Alligator mississippiensis: one gene and its partners. The protein of the gene in region 2 binds, or shares a complex with, the protein of the main gene of each other region. Links are inferred from orthologs where the notes say so. Each region holds a gene or a part of one and is shown on either strand. Other genes may lie near its edges.

Evidence for each region.
Region 1: EXOSC9 (region 2) and EXOSC1 share a complex: the UniProt entries of both Homo sapiens proteins name them as parts of the RNA exosome core complex. The link is inferred for Alligator mississippiensis from reciprocal best matches to the Homo sapiens genes EXOSC9 and EXOSC1.
Region 3: EXOSC9 (region 2) and EXOSC6 share a complex: the UniProt entries of both Homo sapiens proteins name them as parts of the RNA exosome core complex. The link is inferred for Alligator mississippiensis from reciprocal best matches to the Homo sapiens genes EXOSC9 and EXOSC6.

Annotation. Positions count from the first base shown.
Region 1 is NC_081829.1:100,691,098-100,698,659, forward strand, and holds EXOSC1 (exosome complex component CSL4), read right to left. Parts: upstream 3,029-7,562; 5' UTR 2,958-3,028; coding exon 2,927-2,957; intron 2,841-2,926; coding exon 2,725-2,840; intron 2,441-2,724; coding exon 2,366-2,440; intron 1,827-2,365; coding exon 1,738-1,826; intron 1,495-1,737; coding exon 1,461-1,494; intron 1,154-1,460; coding exon 1,103-1,153; intron 966-1,102; coding exon 881-965; intron 740-880; coding exon 633-739; 3' UTR 396-632; downstream 1-395. Other genes in the region: palmitoyltransferase ZDHHC16, read left to right, coding at 3,786-4,022, 4,099-4,293, 4,361-4,449, 4,577-4,605, 5,013-5,146, 5,293-5,340, 5,691-5,776, 5,888-6,011 and 2 more; MMS19 nucleotide excision repair protein homolog, read right to left, coding at 7,122-7,149. UniProt on the Homo sapiens protein: Non-catalytic component of the RNA exosome complex which has 3'->5' exoribonuclease activity and participates in a multitude of cellular RNA processing and degradation events.
Region 2 is NC_081825.1:114,555,967-114,563,887, forward strand, and holds the start of EXOSC9 (exosome complex component RRP45), read left to right. Parts: upstream 1-4,847; 5' UTR 4,848-4,930; coding exon 4,931-4,996; intron 4,997-5,072; coding exon 5,073-5,167; intron 5,168-7,304; coding exon 7,305-7,424; intron 7,425-7,543; coding exon 7,544-7,646; intron 7,647-7,921. UniProt on the Homo sapiens protein: Non-catalytic component of the RNA exosome complex which has 3'->5' exoribonuclease activity and participates in a multitude of cellular RNA processing and degradation events.
Region 3 is NC_081833.1:34,962,356-34,969,078, forward strand, and holds EXOSC6 (exosome complex component MTR3), read right to left. Parts: upstream 2,562-6,723; 5' UTR 2,446-2,561; coding exon 1,585-2,445; 3' UTR 529-1,584; downstream 1-528. Other genes in the region: AARS1 (alanine--tRNA ligase, cytoplasmic), read right to left, coding at 3,593-3,778, 4,167-4,280, 6,384-6,470. UniProt on the Homo sapiens protein: Non-catalytic component of the RNA exosome complex which has 3'->5' exoribonuclease activity and participates in a multitude of cellular RNA processing and degradation events.

The sequences.
Region 1 (7,562 bases), on a different chromosome or scaffold from region 2:
GGCCCCTTCTCCAGAATAGTCGTTCAATGCCCACCATTGTTTCCTGCTGCTCCAACCAGGTGGGGGGAGGGCAGACTCACTGCAAAGCAGCTCCACCTGGTCCAGCCTGGGGGGGACCCACAGGTTTCACAGCCGCAGGACACTGAGCCCCTGCCATCCTCTACACAGCAACAGACCCAGGCTAGAAGACCCTGCAGCTGCTAGAGGTTGCCTGTTCTCTGCCCCAGCCCTGGAAGCCAGGAGTCCACTGCTCCCCACACCCTGGTGTAGACGGCCCAGGAAGTGCTGCAGGAGTGCTGGCACAGGCTGCAACCCCAGCAGGGCCATGAACCGGCTTCTCCCAGGCAACCTCTAACCCTGCCCCCACTCAGGGCTGGGAATCACCAAGGAGGGGAGGGGTTTGGAAAGCCTTTATTGTTCACAGCTTGGGAATCTAAAATCCTGCCTGGGGGCAGGACGGGCAGGGCCCAGGGAGCCAGAGCTGCATCCGGTTCCTGGCAGGTGTTGGTGGAGGCCTGAGTCCCAGCCCAGCGCACGTGGGCACCAGTCCAGGTGATGCTGCAGGTACTTCGGTGAAGGGGGCTCCGGCTGGCTCCTGGCTCAGGTAATCCTGCCGGGGGGCACGGGGTAGCCTAGGTCTGCAGGAACTGGGGCTGCACACGGGCCACTTTGCGGAACTCCTTGGTATGCGTCCGGGGACACTGCATCTCACACCAGCTGATGGGCACCAGCCGTGCCCCTAGGGACCAGTGCAGTGTCACCGAGAGCCCAGGAGAGCTCCTCCTGTTTCCCCATGCAGCCTGGGGAGCAGGGGACACAGCTCAGCCCACCCCAGCCACTGAAGGGGCCTATGCTGCTGGAGCCGCAGTCCCGCTCATACCTGCCTCGCCGTGGGCCACCACCACGCCCAGCTCGTTCTCGGCCGTGCTCAGCAGGTAGTTGGACTGCACGTCACCCAGCGAGATCTGCTCCGGTGGTCAAGGAAAGGGCTCTGGCCTGCAAGGTTATGTGCTGGGCGAGCAGGACACCCCCCCACCCGTGAGAGAGGGAAGTCCCACCAGGCCCTGTTGCCTCCTCGCGCACCCCAGTGAGGGCAGGATACCACCTTAGCCAGAACGATGTCCCCTGGGCGGAAACTCTTGTAAACCTCCACCTGCCGCAGAGCATGGGCTGGTTAGGGGGTGGGGGAGGCCACCGGCTCCTGGGGTGAGTACCAGGAGCCATGGGGGAGGCTGCTGAGCCCCAGGACCTGACAGCAGCCCCAGGCAGTCCAGGCCTCCACAGGAATAGACCCTCCCCCCTTCACTGGACCCCACCTCCCCCCAGAGGGATGCAAGCCATGGCTGGGACCCTCTGGGTCAGCAACACCCTTTTCCCCCCGGCCATCCTTGTGGCTGCGGTGAGAGGAGGGGCAGATGCCAGTTGTCATACGCTGCCAGCACAGGCAGGACACCACTGACCTTGTCCCGCTCCGTGGCTCGGATGTCTTCTTTCCTGTAAGGGGAGATGGGGAGCTTAACACTGGGAGTGCAGCCTGCTCCGCCCCTAGAGCCGCAGGCAGCGCTGCCCACCTGGGCTTGCCTGTGGGACCTCGCTGCAGGCCCCCGGGTGCATGTGAGGCTGGGCCTGGGTGTGGGGGGAAGGAGAGATGGAGACCCCAGAGCCGCCAAGCTGGGCCAGCTGCCTTGGAAGGGGCAGGGCAAGGGGTGGGGAGTCCTGACCCAGGCCAGGGCCTACCGGATGGTGCCGCGGAAAGCTGACTTGAGGGGCGTGGAGCCAACGTACAGGATGTGCACCTTGGCGAAGCGGGAGTTAATACTGCACACCTGCAGGGAGACAGGGCCCGGCCCACGGCTGGGTCAGCAGAGCCTGGACCTTGGTGCAGGACCTGCCCCTGCACCAGTGCATCAGCCCAGCCCAGCACGGCACCGCCACCCCGTCGCCCATCAGCCTCTGGACCAGAGCGACCCAGCGCCTGGGCACTGGCAGAGAAGCCAGCTCTTCCCCGTGCAAAGCCTCTGCCCCAAGCCAACGGCTCCAGCAACCCCAGCTCCAGAGATTAAGGAGCCCAGCATCCTTCCTGCCACCCCAGTCCTCCCAGCCACCAGTGCGAGCGGATCAGTTACCGCCCTGTGACCCCCAGCAGGGCACTGGGAGCCCACAGCCCCGTGGCTGGCTACGGGGGCAGCCCTCGGTGGGAAGCAGGGGCTCCCCGGGACCCAGACGGATCCGGGGCTGAACCACACGGCTCCTGCACCAGCCCGTGACGGGGAGACGGGCACGGGGGCTGCCCACCCGCAGCACGGGGCAAGCCCAGCCCCACCTGCCCCCCACCCAAGCGGGCTGGGCGCTCGGCTACCGTTACCTTGCAGGTGACGATGGCGCCCACGTCAGGCAGGAGCTGGGCTTCGGCGTCTCGCACCACGGACACCACGGGCAGCTGCCAGGCAGGAGGGACGTGCCCCGTGAGCTTGGAGCCGCTCGCGGAGACAGCCCCAGCGCAGCCACAGCCCATGCGGCTCCTGCACCACTCTGCACAGCCGGGCCCCCTCATCTTCAAGGCAGCCAGGAGAGAAGGCCCAGGGCCCGGCCAACCTGGAACCTCAGCTCGGCCCCCAGCACCCCCAGCTTCTCACCCCAACTCTGCCCCCCCACCCCCAGAAAGGGTCCCCGCGGCAGGCTGGGACCCGAGCCGTGCCCCCCGCTCCGCTCCGCTCCGCTCACCGGACCGCCGAGGTCGCGGGCGAGGAGAGCCCCGGCCAGCGCGGAGTGCACGTGCCCGCGCCGGGTGTAGGTGCCGCTGCCCGCGGCCGCCTCGTCCAGGCTGCACAGCCGCTCCCCTGCGGGGACGGGACGGGGGGTTAGCGAGGGGGACGCATGAAGGGCGGGCCCCGGTTGTCGGGCGGGGAGGGGGGACGACACCTACCAGGTATACAGTAGCGCACGGGCGGCGCCATGTCTGCTCCGCGCCGTCGCTACGAGAAATAAAAGCCGCCTTGCCATTGGCCTCCATCCCCCGCTCCGCTGCAAGCCGACGCACTATTGGCCCGGTCCGGCACGTGACATCCCACACGTGCAAGCGCCGCGCGGGGTCCGCCGGGACCTGCAGTTCGCACTGGAGAAGTTCCCGACGGGCCCTGCGCGCCGAGCCCCGCGCAGGCGCAATGCGAGCGGCGATGGCCCCGCGCCGCTGACAGCCGGGCCGCCGGGCCGGGATGGCGGCGGGTGAGTGAGGGGCGGGGCCTGCCGGGGGCGGGGCCAGCGCGGGGGGAGGCGCGTGTCTGCCCTTCGCACCCCCCGGGACCGCGCGCGTGGGGTCCGCCCTGCCCCCCCCGCTTCCTCCCCCCCAGCCCTGGCCCCCCAGCTCTTGCTCCCGCCAGCTCCACCCCCCAACCCCCCGCTCCAGCCCCCCCAGCCCCGTCTCCCCGCCCCCCAGCTCCACCCGCCAAGCCCCCCCTTGTCTCCCGAGCTCCAGCCCCCCCAGCCCATCCCCCCACCCCCCAGCCCCCCCTCGTCCGCCGAGCTCCAGCCCCCCCAGCCCTGTCCCCCCGCCCCCCCAAGCCCCCCCTTGTCCCCTGAGCTCACTTCTTGCCCCCTCAGCCCCTGCCCCCCCGCTCCCCCCCAGCCCTCATCCCCTGAGCTCCAGCCCCCCCTTGTCCCCCTACTTCTTGCCGCCCCCCCCCGGCCGGCTCACCCGAGCTCCTGCCCCCCCGCGCCGCGCCGCGCCGCGCGGCTCCGGTTTCGGGCGCGGCGGGCCGTGACGGGTGCCCCCGCGCAGGGCAGGGATGAGGAGCCGGCGACGCACCTTCTCGGCGGCGATGCGCCTGGCGCTGCGGTGCCTGCGGCTGGGCCGGCGGTGCCGGGGGCGGCTGGCGCGGCGCGCGGCGCAGCTGTGGAGCTACGGGCGGCTCAGCCTGCGCTCGCTGCTGTACAACTCCTTCACGGACGGCGACGTGGTGCTGGACGCCCTCTTCGAGCCCGTGTACTGGCTGGTGGACCACGTCACCCGCTGGTTCGGGGTGGTGAGTGCCGTGCGCCGGGGGGGCGGGGGGGCGGCCGGCCCAGGCCCCGGGGCTAGCGCGGGCGCTGCTCCCGCAGGCGTTCGTGGCGCTGGTGATCGTGCTGACGAGCTCCGTGGTGGCCATCGTCTACGTCTGCCTGCTGCCCCTCATCCTGCGCACCTACGCGCCCGCCTGGGTCTGCTGGCACCTCAGCTACGGCCACTGGAACCTGCTCATGATCGTCTTCCACTACTACATGGCCATCACCACCGCCCCGGGCTACCCGCCGCAGGTAGGGCGCGGGGGCTGGGGGGGCCGGGGGGGCCCGCTTCGAGCGCCGACCGCCCTTCCCTCTGCAGGCCAAGGGCGACCTCACCGGCGTCTCCATCTGCCGCAAGTGCATCGCCCCCAAGCCGGCGCGCACCCACCACTGCAGCATCTGCAACAGGTAGGGACCCGCGTCCCACAGGCCCCCCACCGCAGCACAGCGCGGTCGCCCCCCTTCCCTCCCTCCTGCAGTGGCTTCTCGCCCCAGACCCCCGGCAGGCGCTCACAGCCGTCCACTCTCCTCACAGGTGCGTGCTCAAGATGGACCATCACTGCCGTATCCTTCTGCAGCACCGGCCAGGCTGGCCCCTCTCTAGGGAGCCTGGCTCTTGGGAAAGGGTCGGGGGGTTGGGGTGCACCGAGCGCTGGGGCTGACCGTGTGGGAGGGGCAGCATAGCCCCGAGCCCTGGTGTTGCTGGGGGCTGTGTCCCAGGGCCCCTGGGGAACATGGCGCTGGAGCCAAGGGGTGTCTGGCGAGGCTGCCAGGGGCAGGGCTCAGGTGCAGACTCCAGGTCCCCGCGCACCAGGTGTAGCAGGCGCCGGATGGAGCTGCAGCTGCCTGAGACTGGGGGCAGGCGGGGGGCTGTCCCTGCCCCACTGAGTCCAAGCAGCGCCACGGCAGCCCGGCTCAGGGGTGTGGCGCGGTGCCCCCTCCTATTGTTACCCATCTTTAATCCGGGGCAGCCTGGTTGAACAACTGCGTGGGGCACTACAACCACCGCTACTTCTTCTCCTTCTGCCTCTTCATGACCATGGGCTGCATCTATTGCAGCATCAGCGGCTGGGACATGTTCCGTGAGGCCTATGCGGCCATCGAGGTGAGTGACACGACCTCGGCCTGCACGCGCTCCAGCTTTCCAGGGCAGACAGAGAGGGAGAGGCAGACATGGCCCTGGGCTTCTCTTGGCCCCGGGGCGCCTGTGCCGTGAGGCCTGTAACTGCGCCGTGTTTTCCATCCCCCCAGAGAATGAAACAGCTCGAGAAGGAGCGCCTGCAGGCAGCCGCCAACCAGGTGGGACATCCCCGCGCCCGGGGCCAGCAGGCCGGGCCTTGGCAGCTGCTTCGCATGTGCCTGCGCCTGGGCTCTGCTGCGCCTGCGGGCGCGGAGCTGCCCCAAGGGCCAAGGCCCCAGCTCGTGGCTCTTGCCTGCTGCCTGCGGGGTTCATGCCCCAGGCTGCCACGCAGCTGCTCCCTGCCCTGCTGCCCCGCTGCTTTCACCAAGTGTCCGTCTGCTCTGTGTGCGCGCGCGCGGGGCGGGGGAGGGTCCTCTTGGCTGGTCCTGGTTTCTCGGGGCGTCTGGTGGGGTTTGAGGGAGCAGAGCCGCCCCCACGGGCCTAACCAACCACCTGTCCTTCCCTGCAGACCTACTACCAGACACCGCCCCCGGCCTTCTCCTTCCGCCAGCGCGCCTTCCACAAGAGCATCGTCTACCTGTGGGTGCTGTGCAGGTAACGGGGGCGCTGGGCCCTGGGAGCAGGCAGCTCCATGCAGCCAGGCGCGCAGAGCGGGGAAGGTTGCCTGGACTCAGTGCCCTGACCCCAACCTCCACCTGCCCCCAGCTCTGTGGCCCTGGCCCTGGGGGCGCTGACACTGTGGCACGCGGCCCTTATCACCCGCGGGGAGACCAGCATCGAGAGACACATCAACAAGAAGGAGCGGCAGCGGCTGCAGAAGAAGGGCAAAGTGAGCGTAGGAGCTGGGGGGCAGGGAGCCTGGGGGGCAGGCGGCCACGGTCAGTCACCGTCACGTTCCCCGTCTCTGCTCCCGCAGGCGTTCCGGAACCCGTACAGCTTCGGCGCCTGGGACAACTGGCGGGTCTTCCTCGGAGTGGATGTGCCCAGGTGAGGGGGGCTCTAGGCCGAGCCCAAGACCCTGGTGCAGGGGGCCCAGGGCTGTGGCTTTGGGAGGCTGCAGCATTCACCATGGGCTGCATCCTTCCCAGGCACTGGCTCACCCGCGTCCTGCTGCCATCCACGCACCTGCCCCACGGCACTGGCCTGAGCTGGGACACACCCCCGTGCGTGACGCAGCGGCACACACCCCTGCTGGCCATCTGACCACCAGCGCAGACCCTCCCCAGCCTCGGTGCCCGGAGCCCTGAGGTCCAAACGCGGATGTCTGTTCTGCCCCCTCCTGCCCCTCGTGAGCTGCAGGCAGCCCCTGGGAGGGTGCACGGGGCTGCACAGGCCACGGCCCCACCAGCACCTCTGCTGCAGAGGGGGCCTTGCCTGGCCGCCCCCCTGGGTTTTTTGTGTCAAATAAAACCCGTTTTTAACCAATGCGGCCACCTCCTCGCTGTTGCCTGGTCTGGCCCAGGGGAGCCTAGCTGAACAGGCCCATGGTCCAGCTGGGCTCCGTGTGGAGCTCCGCAGAGGGGCCGGCTTGGACCTGCTGGTCTAAACACTGGTGCTTCAGCAGCCTCCGAGGAGCAAAGAAATAGGGACCTTGCCCTGGGGCGCGAACTGCAGCCAGGAAGGATGGGGAGGCAGCAGGTCGCCGCAAGGGCCACCTGACAGCCCCACCGGTCTGACGGCGCCTGCCAACACCCTGACGCTGCTGTACCAAAACACACGTGTTTATTCTGGTGGCATGTGGAGTGCGACACGTGCCTGGGCCCTGCCTGCTCCCTCCTGTGTGGCGGGGGCTCCTGGGTGCAGGGTGGGCACAGCGAAGGTGCTGCCCTCTGGTCCCGGCAGGAAGCGGGTTGGGTTAGCTTGGTGGCACTGGCGGCACGGCCGGGCCAGGCGTGGGGTGCGATTGTCAGTCGTGCAGGGGGTGGCACGGGCGGGGGCCTCACCTGCCCGGGCTGCCCAGGAGGAACCTGCCAGATAAGAGCTGTAGCAGAATTGGGCAGGCAGGACCTGGGAGGCATGGCCAGCCCAGCTTGAGGCCCGAGGCAACAAGGAGGAGCAGGGGCCAAGAGCCCTGCAGCATCCTGCTGAGACAGGATGGAGCCTGGAAAATGCACTCCAGTGCCCAGGTCGAGGCCGTGCCCCTGCTGCAGAGGAAGGCAAAACCCCCCAATCTGCACCAGTCTGAGCAGGGGGAAATCCTTTCCTGACCCAGCGCAGTGTGGGGCTGAGCCCGAGCGTGGGGGCAAGACCCTCCAGCCAGGACCCTGCGGGGTCGGTGCCAGCAGGAGCATTGGCACAGCCCAGCCCCATCCCCAGCCTGGGCTGCAGCACCCAGTGCTGCCGAGAAAGGGAAGCCACCGACACCTGTAGCAGCAGGAAG
Region 2 (7,921 bases):
CCAGTAGGTTTTTCATGGACTGAAAGCACATAAAATCCAAATCCATTATTGGGTATGTCATCTATGCAATAGCTGTACCCATCTAAAAGAACAACCAAAAGAAAATAGGAGGTGGTTCAAAAGGTTGAAGTAAGGACGGGAAAGGTTTAAGTTAGATTGGGATCCTGGTAATAGACACTCATATAGATACCATCATATGGTGCACCGATGAAAAATGTGAAGATGTACGTTTCAACTTTAATGCCTTTGTCCTACTATATTAGAGACCACCATGCAAGGCCAACATTAGCATTAGAGAGCCATCCTTTTCTGGAGAGGAGATTTAAGTGTGAGAAAAGTGTAAAAAATCCAGTTGAATAAGCAGTTTATGTGAACTTGAATCTGAAAGCTGAGGCAGCATACTTTAGCTTAATAGGAGCTAGTGTTTTAGGCACATGGATTTTTTTTGTACCGATGTATCGCAGAATCAGTGGGGAGAATGGTCTAATTAAAACAACATTAAAAGCAGAAGGCTGTTCAGGGTGATGCATGGAGCTAAACAGGAGTTAAAGATGAAGGGTGTTCCAGTGCTAAAGCTGGGACATTAAAAAAAAATTCACAAAACCTGGTAGAAAGGAGCTACAATAGCAGCAAAAGATCTTTACAAGATCTTTGTCGTAGTCTACAAGCACAAGAGAGGAATAAAGGGTAGAAACACTAGTATGTAAAGATCACCTGTCAATATGTTCTACCTTTTGTTGAGAAGGAATGTTTGTCTTTTGATAAAGTGCTTCTTGGAAAAACTATACTAATAACTAGGCTCCCTTTGTATTACATTTTAGAGCAGTTTTTTGTAGTAATTAAATACCTCATCTAGCACTTTCAAATATTTCTCCAAAGCAGCTGTTGTCAAGTAACTGCTGTTTACATACAGGAAAAAGGAGGAGCAAGGGAGGAAAAAAATGCCAGTAACACTTGCTTTATTTGCTCACGAGAAAGGAAGGCAAGTTGTGAATTTCCAAAGGCAAACAGGTGCATGTATACTGCTGGCCTTTAAACAAGAATACAAACTTAGGGTAGCAGCCTCAACCTAAAGAAAGGGACCAAAAACCATTATAAATGCTTAGAACAGAAAAATACCACATCTCTGCAGTAAAAGATCTGAACTAACTAGCGATAAAGAGAGGTTGTTAGCTGTGTTAGTCTGAAGTCAGACAGAAGGCAGGGCAGAGTTGCGCCATATAGACAACTAATTCAGAAATACGCATGTATAAGGTGCAACTCCACTATAATTTACAGATATTTGCTTCTGTAGGAAAATACCATATTTTCTTGCATATAACCCACCCCTTCTCCCAAAAAAACAGCTGAGGAAAATTGGGGTGTACCTTATATGCAAAGAAAAGGGATGCCCATGGGCCTGAAAATTTGGAGAAGGGGAGGTAGAATGTTGGGAACCTCTCACCACTACCTCCCCTACTATAACATTTCCAGACCCACAAGGAACTTCCCTCTCTAACCACACACCAGATCAGACAGGCACTTGGGGTTGGTATGCAGCCAGACTTGGTACACCAAGTCCAACCCAGCACATGGGCCCAGACGCAACATGCCAGATCTGATCCTGTGTGCTGGGTCCAGAACAATGTGCCAGAATGGACCCAGTATGCCAAGTCCCCATACTGGGTTTGAAGCCATATGCTGGCTCCAGGGCCACACATTAAGTCTGACCCCATGTACTGCCTGGGACTGTATACTAGTTCTAGCAAGCATGTGGAGTCGGACTTTCGGCCCAAGATCCAGTGCATTAGGTCAGTCCACAGACCCAACCAGCATGCAGGGCTGGCAGCAGTCCCAGCTCCCAAGCTGCTGCCACTCTTACCTCTTTCAACAAATTTTTCTTCTTCAGGTTCCCCTTCAAAGGTGAATACTATAAATGAGGGTGTGCTGTATGAGAAAAAATACAGTAGCCTGGTGTTACCTACTTACATTTATGCTAGTGAGTAGAGGTGCACTGATAGATCAGCACTGATAAAAGGAAAATTTATGTTATTGGCAATCAGCTTTTTTTGGCTGATGTGGCTGATGTCACCAATAAATGCCCCATGCATGCGTGCAACTGCACGCATGTGCACAGTCAAGAATGCAGCCTGGCAGCTTGGAGAGTAGCATCCAGCTGGTAAGTCTGTAGGGGAAAGGGCATAGGCAGATTGAGGCCCCCACAGCAAGGGAGGGAATAGGGCAGGGGCAGGCACTGCCCAGCTTGGGCAGAACACAGGACAGAGCCATGGGCGGCTCATCCAGGGGGTGCAGGTCCCACTGCTGCATGCACCCCTGGGGGAGGTATAGGGGCATGTGCCTCCTGGATTTGTGTGCGGGTTGAGGGCAGGATGCCCACTGCAGGATTGATGCTGGGGGCTGTCTGTGCTGGCCTCTTCCCAGCGGAAGGGGCTAGGCAGGAGCTGTGGGCAGGGTGGGCAGGGGCAAGGCAGGCAGCAGGGAATTCTGGGGTTGACATGCCCCCCATGTTTCCTCTGAGGGTGCGAACAGTGGTGGGAGCTGCTCTCCTCCTGCCTGGATAAGCTACCTGTGGCTCCATCTTGTACCCCACCCTGGCCAGGCAGCACCTGCCTCAGGCCCTGTTGCACTTTCTCCCTCGCTGTAGGGGCCTCGATCTGCCCTCACACAACCCTCCCCCCCTAGACTTACTGGCCAGATGCTGCTCTCCAAGCTGCCAGGCTGCATATTGGCTATCAGATCAGTATCAGCTGATATGGCTGGTAAATAATTGGCATCAGCCAAAAAAATCTTTATCAGTGCACCTGCACTAGTGAGAGACACCAGGGGTCTGTGCAATTATGCAGGTGGAGCAGCTCCTATTGTTTTTAACAAATTATTTTAGCAGTATAAGGATAAGAGTATTAATGGAGTATTGATAATGGGTATTAATAAACCCAACCATTTTGGATTTATAACTAATTAATTATAAACCCAAATCAGTAACACATCCTTTTCCCCCACACATGTATGTATTTTTCAAGGGCTATAGGATTTGCTTCCTCTAAAGTCTGCATAGCTGTCTTGAGGGTGACTACTGTAATATTCCTAAGGTTATACTGTGTTGGCTTTTTCATTTTAGTAGCTGCAGGAGCTGCATGGAGATGCCAGTTTGATCAGCCTTTAGGATGGGCTCCATCAGTGCACAGGGCAAATGCTTGGTTACATAACCATTACTTATTCCAAAAATATCTTGAGGGTCTGGTAAATGAGTTATTCCAAATACACATTTAATTTATACAGTTTTTAGAACCAATTTTCAGAAGTAAAGACAGAAGATTAAGGGTTAGAAGAGGCAGGTTTACTAGCAAACGTTTCTAAGGCTGAAGAAAAATTACAGATAGAAGGTTTTGGTTTTATTTATAATACAAGTTATGACAGGACCACCATTAATTAATATGGCAGCCCCTTGCAGAAAAGGACAAAAAATTTTGCACGAAGCCTGACACTTGCCAAAAGGGTTAAAGGCAACTACGTTAACAGCAGCAGCTCAGGATCCACCTGGCTCTCTGGATGTATCTTAAGGTAAGTAGGCATGCAGCTGAATCACTGCAAGAGGCAGCTTAACCAGCTATTCCTGGAGCTGCTTGCCTGGCTCAGCAGAGAGGAGTAGAAGTGGTGTGAAGTCCTGGATTGCCATGCAGCTCATGTTCACTGTGGTGCTTCCTTGTGCAATTCAGGTTCTCAAGTGTTGCCCCCCCTGCCCAGGCACAGCTGACCGGGGGTGGGGGGAAACAACTGGAGCCCTCGTTTCTCCAACAGCAGGAGCAATGTGTCCTCCTTGGGCTGTCCAGCTGCCATATCCTGGGCAGTTCCTGAAGCATCCTCCTGAATTAAGGCAATCAGGACTCATAGTAGAGAAGATATCTTTTATTAGACCAACAAGATGTTTGCAGAAAAATTGCAAGCCACTTAATCCTTTAATCCTTACTAAACACAAAACGCCCACATCAGGCATTGGAGAAGATTGTAAAAGTTCTCCTGGGTAGCAATGAAAGTTTGTATTTCCTAGGATTTCACAGAGGAGTCAACAGATGGAAAACTCCTAAGCGATGAACTGACTGCCCAGAGTTTTGACTCCTCTGTGAAATCCTATGAAATATGAACTTTCATTTCTACCCAGAACTTTCACAATCTTCTCCAATGCCTGATGTGGGTGTTTGTGCCCGGAAGCTTGCAATTAAAGCTTTTTTTTTTTTTTGCAAAAATCTTGTTGGTCTAACAAAAGATATCACCTCGAGTAGAGTTCTGATTGCCTTTTCCTCTATACCAATATGGCTACAACCTGGAGACCTGACTCCTGAACTAACACTCAGGAGTTAAACCTGCTATGTCAACAGGCAATGTGAATCGGCAGGGTGCTGCCATGGACAGGGATAGCCCAGCTCTCCTCACTAATATAACTGACACAGAGGCGGGCATGCCCACATCAGGACAGCAAGTATCACATTTTTTTTGTCATCATAGAAAATGCCGGTTGGGAGGGACCCCAGGAGGGCACCGAGCCCAACCCCCTGCTCGAAGCAGGACCATCCCCAACTAGATCATCCTGAGCCAGGGCTTCAAAACCTCCAAGGACTCAAGAGGCCACGACCTGTGCCAGCGTTTCGCTACTCTCCTGAACAAGCCCCTCGCCCACGGGCCCCGCCCCGCAGAGAACAGGCTCCGCCCCAGCCCGGGGGGTGGCGGGAGCACACAACCCTTAGCGTCGCCCCTTCTACAACTCAGTGGGAGGGTGAAACGTCTCCTGTGTTTTAAAAGCGGCGGCGCGGCCGCCACCCCCCCGCCCAATCAAAAAGAAGGCGCGGGTCCTGCCGGCGCCTGCGCAGTGGTATCTGTCGTACGGCTGATGACGTGACAGGGTGCGACTGGAAGACTGGTAAGTCGCGCCACCATGAAGGAGACGCCGCTGTCCAACTGCGAGAAGCGCTTCTTGCTGCGCGCCATCGAGGAGAGGAAGGTGTGAGACCAGCCCCCCGCTTTCCCGTCTTTTCCCCCCACTTTTCTCCCCGCTGATTCCACTCTCGGCCTTGCAGCGCCTGGACGGGCGGCAGAGCTACGACTACCGCAATGTGCGCGTTTCTTTCGGCACCGACTATGGCTGCTGCGTCGTGGAGCTGGGGAAGACCAGGTAGCGCCGGGCTGGGGGAGGCGCAAGGAGGTGCATGAGCAGTGGGGCGCACGAGGCTGGGGCAGCTGGGGCCGCGTGCAGCCTCCCTCAGTGACGGGAGCCGCGGCTGTAGGGCCGCGCGCAGCTGTTCGGGCCTGGGAACACGGGGGGCGCATGCGCGGTGCCTCGGGCGCGCCTGCCTGGTACTGCGCGTGCGCGCAGGGCTGCGAGGGGGTTCCTGAGGGCAGCTCCAGCCCCAACCCCTTCTGTAGTAGGGCGGGCTCTGCCCAGTGTTGCCCACTTCGTATCATCCTTCCAGCCCTTGTACTATGTACAATCAAGAATAATAAGCGTTCAAAATGTACAATGATTTTTGAGGCAGCTCACTGATGCAGGATGGGTGAAACCTGAGTCACTCTCAAGGGAGTCTTGACTGACTTCTGGGTTTGCTGTCAGCACTTTCTTATGTCTGCCTGCCTTGAATAAAGAAATGCTGCAGCTTTGACCCAGTTCTCACTTAGTGCTGAGTTACGGTGATAAATATAAAGTAAATAAGAAGAATTATTTGCATCCTGCTGCGGCCGAGGTGGTTAACGTGTGCTGGGAGATCCCCTGGAGAGGCCCTGCTACAGATGAAGGCAGGAGGCCCCTCCATCCATACCAGCCTGACCCTGGGGGGAAATTCCTTCTTGACCCAAATACATCAGTCAGTCTGACTTTTAGCAGGATGAGACCCTCTTAGCTAGGACCTTCTGGCTTTAAGTCCCAGCAAGAGTGCTGGCACACTCCAGTCTCAAACCTCAGCCATGTCTGTAGCCAACTCCTGGTTCCTCTGAGGAGCGCATGGTGGGGAAACAAAACCCTATCACATCTGAGTTGTCAGTGACTTGGGGCATTTTTACATGTGCTGTGGGATGCAGTGCCAGGAACTTTAGTTAGCAAGCTGCTCTAATTGCATGTCATGTGTATTGGTGTCCCTGCGCTGAAAGAATGGCAGCTGGGCGCTTTGAAATAGAGCTCATTGGACATGTTTTATTTCAAAGCACCCTGCCACCATTTTTTAGTGCAGAGATGCATGGCAACGCTGATGCACGTGACTCGGAAGGCTGCTGGAGTGTGTCAGTTTCCACGCTCCAGCAGACCTGATTGATCGAGCCTGCTCTGACATGCTGGATTTCCAGTGCATTGGAGCAGGCTCTGCACACATGTATAGGAGCCCTTGGAGACACCCTCGCTCCCTCTTACATTGCCAAGTGCTATGTTACCCAGGTTACAAGTAGCCTTGTGGATAGACTGCTGCTAAAAGGGGCAGAAGCAAGTCTCCAGGCCCACTTTTTATTTGCTTGTACTTGAAAATGCAAAAGCAAATGTTTATCCCAAAGTCTGCCTGGCTACCTCTGGCAGCATAGTATAGAGTCTCACTTATACCAGCTGGGGAGACGTAAGAGGCAGGAAGAGGGTGGCACGCAGATTGGCAGCAGGTCTTTTTGAATTTGATGAGTTCTCCAAATTTCCCTCCAGCTGTACCCAAGATTTACAGGTGGCTGGTTGTAATAATCTAATAAATGATTTCTGGTTGGATTGGATCTAAAGATCATGTCTCCCCCCAAAAAGTCCCTTGTGTAATAGTGCAAACATCAGTGGTAGTGCCAATACCAAGTTAAACCAGTACATGAGGTTTTACAGGATTGAAGCTAGCAGTTACATACCCTTCATGGGTGTATGGGGTTTCACAGTGTATTTAGTTGTAAAGCAGGCATGTGTAAACAAGTGTTAACATAACTTTGGATATTTAATATCCTACTTGTGACTTTGTACAGTAATCTCAAATGGAGCTTTGCAGTCCCCTATAGATGGTATCTCCATTTTTCATGCGGGGGGTGGAGGGGGGGAATATGAAAGATACAAAATTTGGTAAATTCTTCTAGCTCACAGTGAGAATAAAAGCTACATTTTAAACTCCACATAGCACTCTACTGCCTAGTTTCTGTTAGTGCCCTAGTAATGGTTACCTTGAATACATTTAGCTGTCTTGCTTAAAAAATAAACTGAAAAAATTGGGAGGTGTAAAATACAACTCATGTATGTTGTGCAGTGTTTAACTTCTTTCTGTCTTCATTCTGAAGCCTGTGCTTCTGGGGGTGATTTTCTTTTGCAGAGTCCTTGGACAAGTCTCATGTGAACTTGTTGCCCCAAAGCCAAACCGGGCTACAGAAGGTATACTTTTCTTTAATCTTGAGCTCTCTCCAATGGCTTCACCAGCTTTTGAGCTGGGCAGGTACGTGGCTTTTGCTGCAGTGACAGCAGGTAGGATTGATATAAGGATGACCATGGTGTCATTGTTCTCCCTTATTAATAACTCACAACTTAAACATGTGCATATTATGTCTTCTACAGGCAGTCTGAATTGCTGGTGAAGCTGAATAGGTTATTAGAAAGATGCCTAAGAAACTCAAAGTGCATAGATACTGAATCTCTTTGTGTTGTTGCTGGTGAAAAGGTATGAAATACTCTGAAATCCAGAGCTTTTTAACATTAGGGGTTTAACAGGTTGCATATAGGATTTGGTTTCTGTTGTCTCTTGAACAATAGTTCCTATGTTTGTTTTAAAGCTCTAGCCCAAGTGACTTGTGCATATGTAGCTCTAAGCATGTAGTTAGTGGGCCTATGTAATAGTAAATGTTTGTAGGAACAGAATACTTTAACTTTTTACTTACTAATAGCATGTTACCCAGTATGGAAAACTAACATGCCGTTTCTCATTCAGTATGTTGA
Region 3 (6,723 bases), on a different chromosome or scaffold from region 2:
GAAGGCATGAATTGCTGCATTAACAAGCAAGCCCGTTTGGGACCACCCATCAATTTTTGGGGAGGGGTGGGACTTCAAGTGCCATTTAGCCAATCAGAGGTGTGCCCCCCACCACAAAAATGGCACCCGATGTCTTGCTGGGACAGTGAATTTGGAGGCAACCACTGTGAATTAGGTAGGTCCCTAATCATAAGCTGTTCAAACCTGCCGTTTCATAGCCAAGATGAAATTTGTTGCTCTCAATCCAGATCCAAATGCAGAGAGGTATCTACAACACTAAGCAGAGGTTAGTATACAAACCAAACAGAGTGATCCCTGTGCTTCAAGGCTGCAAATAAATGGGAAGTGACACAAACTGCCATCTGAACTACACCAGAAGTGTGAGTAAGGAAGGACATTTTAGCCTGAAATGCTGGTGATCAGGGACTTTCCAAAGGCCTTGATTTCACTGAAATATTCCCACCAAAAGACTTACCGAATAGGAACAGGTGACTTAAGACTCAAAAACAGATCACAGCCAGAATGAGGTAAAGTTCACAGTAAAAAGTACAATTTATTATATTAAAAAAATATCTCTCTCAAGATATTACCTGGATACATTCTCTTGGGTGGGGGCATACAAATATCTTATTCATGAACAGCATTTTGCCAAGATACGGTGCTACCTGGTGCTCAAGTTTTAGTTACAAAGTCTAAACTCAACAGCCAAACCATCATCCAGTCCAGTCCATCAGTAACACAGCTCCACGTTAACATGTGTCCAAGGGCCAAAAGGTCACAATGAAAGCATATTCAACACAAAGGATCTTGTTAATAATTCCTGTAAGGATAATTAACTGAGCTGTCTTGTTCATTGGTATGGCCAATGTGGAATTAATAAGCAAAGAACCAATACTAGCAAGAACTGCAGCCAGAGAGGGAGAGCAGTCAGTCCTTGATTATAAAAAATGAGCAAAATCACAGTAGCGTCCGCCAGTTTGACTTCCACAAATTTCAGAGCCAAAAACACAATTTTCAGGAAAGAAATACAATTGTCTGGGGAAGAGCGAAGGTCCAATCAAAAGTTACAAGAAAAATTGTAGAAAAGAAACATTTGACATCATGTAACCAAACAGATTTTCTGCTGACCAGACAGCACTACTTGTTCTCCAGCAACCAGCTAAAGAGTTCCCTTTAAAATTTAAGACCAGGGAAGCCACAGCACATGTTGAATGCGAGTTGGCACCAGACTACTGAATGCAGTGGACTCCTACCAACAAAAAGATGGCGCCGCTTTGAACTTCAAGTGGAAACACCAGCAAAGAAAGTCTGCCATTCTCCAGGGCATCTCCTGGACTGCAACAGGCATGAAGAGGGGCAGGAACCATTCGGGGCCAAACATGCTTGAAAACCCATGCAGGGGCACAGGCAGCTGCGAGACGAATGGCGTCCGGTGCGGGCAGGGGTGGCTGGGAAGGCGGGGTCTGTGCCAAGTCCTGGTACCGGGTGGGCCTCGGGCTGCAACACGCAGGGCCGGCGCCTTCCCGCACGGTCTGTCCCCGTCGTCACCGACGTGGGCTCCAGGCGCCGGCGCGGGGTGCGCCCTCAGGCGGTGGCTGCGGGCGGGCTGTGGCTGCCCCCGCCCCCGGCGGCGCTGCGGGCCCGGCGGCGGGCGGCGCGGAGCAGGCAGTGCCGCAGCAGCGGGTAGAGGCGGCGGCAGCCGTCGAGGCCGAGGCGCACCGCCTGGGCCCAGCTCTCGGGCGCGCCGCCCTGGCCGCCGCCCAGCAGCGCCGACACCTGGTCGAGGGCGGGCAGCAGCGCCACGGTGAGGCGGGCGGCGGCGTCGCGCTCCTCGCGCTCGCTGGGCTGCAGGCGCCAGGCGGGCGGGTCGGCGGCGGAGGGGGCGGGCGGCCGGCTGAGCGCGCAGGCCACCACCAGGTCGTGCATCTCCACGCCCGCGTCGGCCAGGGCCAGGGCGGCAGCACTGACGGCGGCGGCGAGCGCGGAGCCGCCGTCCTGCAGCAGCAGCGCCGCCACCTCCAGCTGCGCGCGCGGGTAGCGGCCCAGGCGCACGGCCGGCTCCAGCGCCTCGCGCAGCGCCAGCGCCAGCTCCCGGTCTCGCCCGCCCGCCGCCGGGCCGGGCCGCAGGCGCGCGCCGCGCCGGGAGAAGGGCGCTCGGCGGAAGTCGCAGAGCAGCCGCCCCCGCGCCGCCGGCTCCGCGCCGCCCGCCTCCCGCGGGCCGTACACGGCGCACAGCACCTTGGTGCCGCCGCGCAGCTCCACGTAGGCCGAGCCCTTGGCCTGGCTCAGCAGCCCCGCGCGCGCGAACAGCGGCCGCGGCGCCGCCGGGTCCCGGCCCGGCCCCGCCGCCTCCTCGGCCTCCTCCGGCTCCGGCTCCTCGGCCGCGTACAGCAGCGGCGACTGCGACTCCTCCGGGCCCGGCACGCGCCGGTGGTCCAGCGGCATGGCCCCGGCCACCCGATCCCGATAGGCCCAGCCGCTCACCCGCCTACACGGAGCGCCCCCTGCAGGCCCGGAGCGCGGCCGGGGCCTGGCCTGCGCGCCCCGCCCCCAGCGCGGCTCCAGCCACTCAGCGCCCGGCCCCGCGCTCAGGGCGCTCCGCCCCCAGCCCGGCCCCGACCCTGGCCCCGCGGAGCGAGCGAGCATGGCGGGGAGCGGGGCCCGACCGGCCCCGGCCTGCGCCCTCGCCCGCTGCTCCCCTGCAGCGACGGGCGGCCCCGCGCCCCTCCAGGGGAAGCACCTGTTAGACCCACGGCGCCGCAGGGCGCACAGTCCCATTCTTGGCAAAGCCATAACCCCCTCTAACCACAGACTGAACATCTGCCTTCCCAGCACACCCCCACTTCTTCCACCCTAACAAAACTGCAAACCCTGGCCTGGTTCAATGACAAATTAACAGGGCACACATTGCAGATGGCCTTTATTAACACTGAACCTATTCCTCATGTTCCCATACAGGTAGGTCTGCTCAGCTAAGGCAGTGAGGTACACCTACATCACATTAATTTAAATACACTATTACTGTTGTCAATAAAGTGAGTAAAGGGCTTCCATGTTATCTACAGAGAGGTCAGGGAGTTGGGTGACAGGTTGATTCCAGCAACTTTCCAGAGGTGGGCTCCTGCCTCCAGTGGTTACAAGGGGACAGGAGTTTGTGTGCAGACTCTTGGCTTTGATGCGTTCTGTGGCTGACAGTATTTATTACTAATATTTAGCACATCATAACAGTGCTCTGAAGACTTTACAAACTGCTAGTGCAATCCTTACTGCAGGCCTTGCAGAGAGGCCAGCATTATCCTCACTTTACAGACAAGGAACAGGCTTCCCAGACATACAACAAGATTGGAGCTGGCATTACAACTTCTAAGCCCCTGTCTCTCTCTCTTCCTTGTTTAGATCTCTAACCCATGATGCTTCTTTTAGTTTGTTAATGCCTCAGCGAGGGGATTCAGAAGGAATGATGTGCAGCGTCTTTGTCTCCAGCGATGTCGCTAGAGTGAATGGGAGCCCGGTGACCAGGCTGATGAGAAAAGGAGAGAGCTGACAGCATTCGCTTCTTACCTGTGCAACGAGCCAGCACAGGGACATGGAATCAGTTCTTCAGCTCGCCAAGGCAGAGCTCAGCAAAGTCCGTGGCCAGCTTCAGAACCTCCTGCAGGCACCCAACATTTTTGCCTGTTGCCTGGGCTGAGACATCTTTCCCACCACCTTTGCCATCCATCAGTGTTGACACTTCCTGCACCCACTGGTTGGCCTTCAGGCCCTTGTTGGCTGCTTCCTGGAAAAGAAGAGGGCAGGGTTTAGGTTATTACAACACAACAGCATTTGCTGCTGGAGGAAGATGCCTAGATGAACACTACTTCAAGTAACTGTATCTGATGGAAGAACAAAGCTCTACCTCCTTGGCAGTACAGTACTTAACTTGCTTTCTTGTATGGCTCCAAATGTAATTTAGCTGAGACACAGCTACGCTAATGCAACAACTACTACCAGTATCCCAGTTAGACGTGATAATGAGAGACAGAGGACACATGGAAGCCCCATTGCTGACTGCCTGAGCATAAGCTGTACAGGAAATCTGCAGGTCCTACTGCTAGGAAGAGCTCTTAAGCTCAGCCTGAAATGCTTTGGGCAGACACACCCAAAGGGCTCTGGAAAAGTGTTACCTGAGGTACTTGGCATAAGCAGGTGATCTTGCCAGCTTCATTATCTACTGCGAAAAGCATGGCAGCAGTCTGAGGAGAATGAGTCTTGAATAGCTTCAGAGATTCATTCAAGGCCTGTAGAAGGAGATACAGAGAAAATTACACCAAGAACCAGCCGGCATCATTCATCTTTCAGCTGGCCTGGCAACACATGCTGCAAATCCCTACACAGATTCCTTTGCTGCTAGATAGCTACAACAGTCCTGCTGATATCAGCAAACACACTCTACTCCCAGGCAGGCATTCTGAGTCAGTATCTTCTGTACCTCGCTTTTGCAGCAGTCTGCATCTCTGCAGTGCTTGGTTTCTGTTGGGTGCAGTAAAGCTGCATGTACCCTTCTTGAGGCTGGCTGTGGAGCTGGCATCAGAGGAAGAGCAGAAGCAGCTTGCTTGCCTGGTCACACCAGACTCAATGCCTGGAGATCTGAGCTTCTGAAGTCACATAGAGACATGGCTCCCTAGCTTCACTCATGTTCCCTGTCCAGCAGCAGGACTGGAGCAGGAGAATGCTCAGTGCCTGATTTGTTTCCCATCTTGGGTTGTTTGGGGGCCAACAAATGTATGGCTCTGCAACCATAAAGCAAGTGAAAATGATCTGCAAGCAAGTGATACATTAGGAAGGGGAAGGGACAGCAGCTTAGGACAGAGGTGGTGTGAGCCTTTCCTTAGCAGGCTGCTGGACTGAGGTAAAGGGCAACCCATTCTGGGAGACCTGGAAACTCTGCTGTGCCTGCTGCTACTCTCTACTTAAGAGCAGCTGGAGTCAGCAGGGATGGAGGTCAGAGTGCAAATGCTACAAGGATACAAAAGTCTTTCCCACAGCACACCTAGACTAATGGACTAGGTATAGGCAAGTCCTTGAGTGCCAGGCACCCACTATTTGCAAAAGATTTGACACTTCATATCTCACATAGAAAGACCTGCTGTATTTAGAGAGCTCCTGAGACAGGCTAATTAGAGGTCATTTGATGATGCCTCTTAGGGGACATATTCACGGCTCCACCTGTACAGCTGGCTGCTGCAGTCCCCAGGGGTCACGCAGCCCACTGTTGCAATCCACATGCTGTGCGCTGCTGTCATCCCTTAGAGGTGCAGGCAATTGGCTACTGCGCAAAGAATGTGCCAACAGCTCAATGCAGAGATGCTGCTGGGCCTGCTGCTGGGAACACTGAAGATGCAGCATCTGTACCAACTGCAGTAATGGTCCCCAAAACAAAATAGCAATTTTCCCCTCCCACACAGACATGAACAGCATTTAGATACCATGGAGATGAGAACCATGTAAGAGGGTGAGTGGGAGCCTATAAACAAAACAGGATCAGCTGGGAGTTTGCCCATGCAGAAATTTAAATTGGGGCATTACAACTTGATGGTTAGTCTACAGTATCATTAATTGACACTGTTCATTTCCTATTGTTGCCTGGCAGCAGCTCATCACTGCTGGGACCAGCAAACAAGGGGGTTTACCCACAACAAGCTTCTCTAGGGGGTAGGAAACCCCCCCTTCCACCTTGACAAGAATAGACAGATTCAGCTCATGATGCGAGACAGAAGGGTAGGGACAGCACTGGTCTGTGACAAGCCCAGCTGGATGGGTTGCAGAATCCAAGAAATGGGAGCTGGAGGACAACACTTTTCTAGCACTCATTCAAGGCTCTACCTAGCTGCTGTATGGGAGCCAGTGCAAGATACACTGCATTTCTCTGCAATATCCCAGCTGACAGAGCTTCATTGCTTTTCTTGGGTAACTACCCTGCAGGCCCCACTGTTAGAAACATTTTCAGCCTGCATTTTCCCTCATCTTCTAATTCCTAGCCACCCACTTGGGTGGCCCTTACTTGAAGCAGGGATCCCCATCCTGATCCAGACACTAGAATCTGAGATGGTGAAGAAGAGAGTCTGAGGGACAAACAGAGGTGTTGCACACTTCCGGGTAGGAGGTGGCTTTGGTTAAGCCAGCAGAAAAAGTGCACAGACCTAACATGAACTAATTATGCCCTCCACGACCATCTCAAAGCCCTGGCCATGGTTGGGCACCTGCACAGCAGGCTCTGTAATACATGAGGCTGTGAAAATCCCCCCTCCATTCCAGGGGCCACAAACGGAGAGGCAGGTTTCTGAACTTTCTCAGGGAGTCCTAGACACGGGAATGGAGAGTATTGGGACTAGCTGTGTTACCTTTGCTGAAGCGCCACTCTCCATTTCCAGAATTACAAGTGGCTGGTTAGGGTGACTGTCAATGAACTGCTTGGTCTTCTCCAGCACCTGGAAGAACAAGCAGATGTTCAGACAGATGTGAACAGACACAAAAACTGTTTTTTGCACACAAGGGCTCACCAGGCAAACTGAAAGAGGTGCAACAGCTAACCTGCACCAACTTCTAGTCACTGATCACTGACCATTCTGTACAGCTGATATGGACCCAAAGGGGAAGGCCCAGGCTGCCAAAGCAGGAACAAAGTGTGGAAGAACATGATGCAGCACGTGAGATTTGAAAGGAGGCAGCACTGCTGCGTAC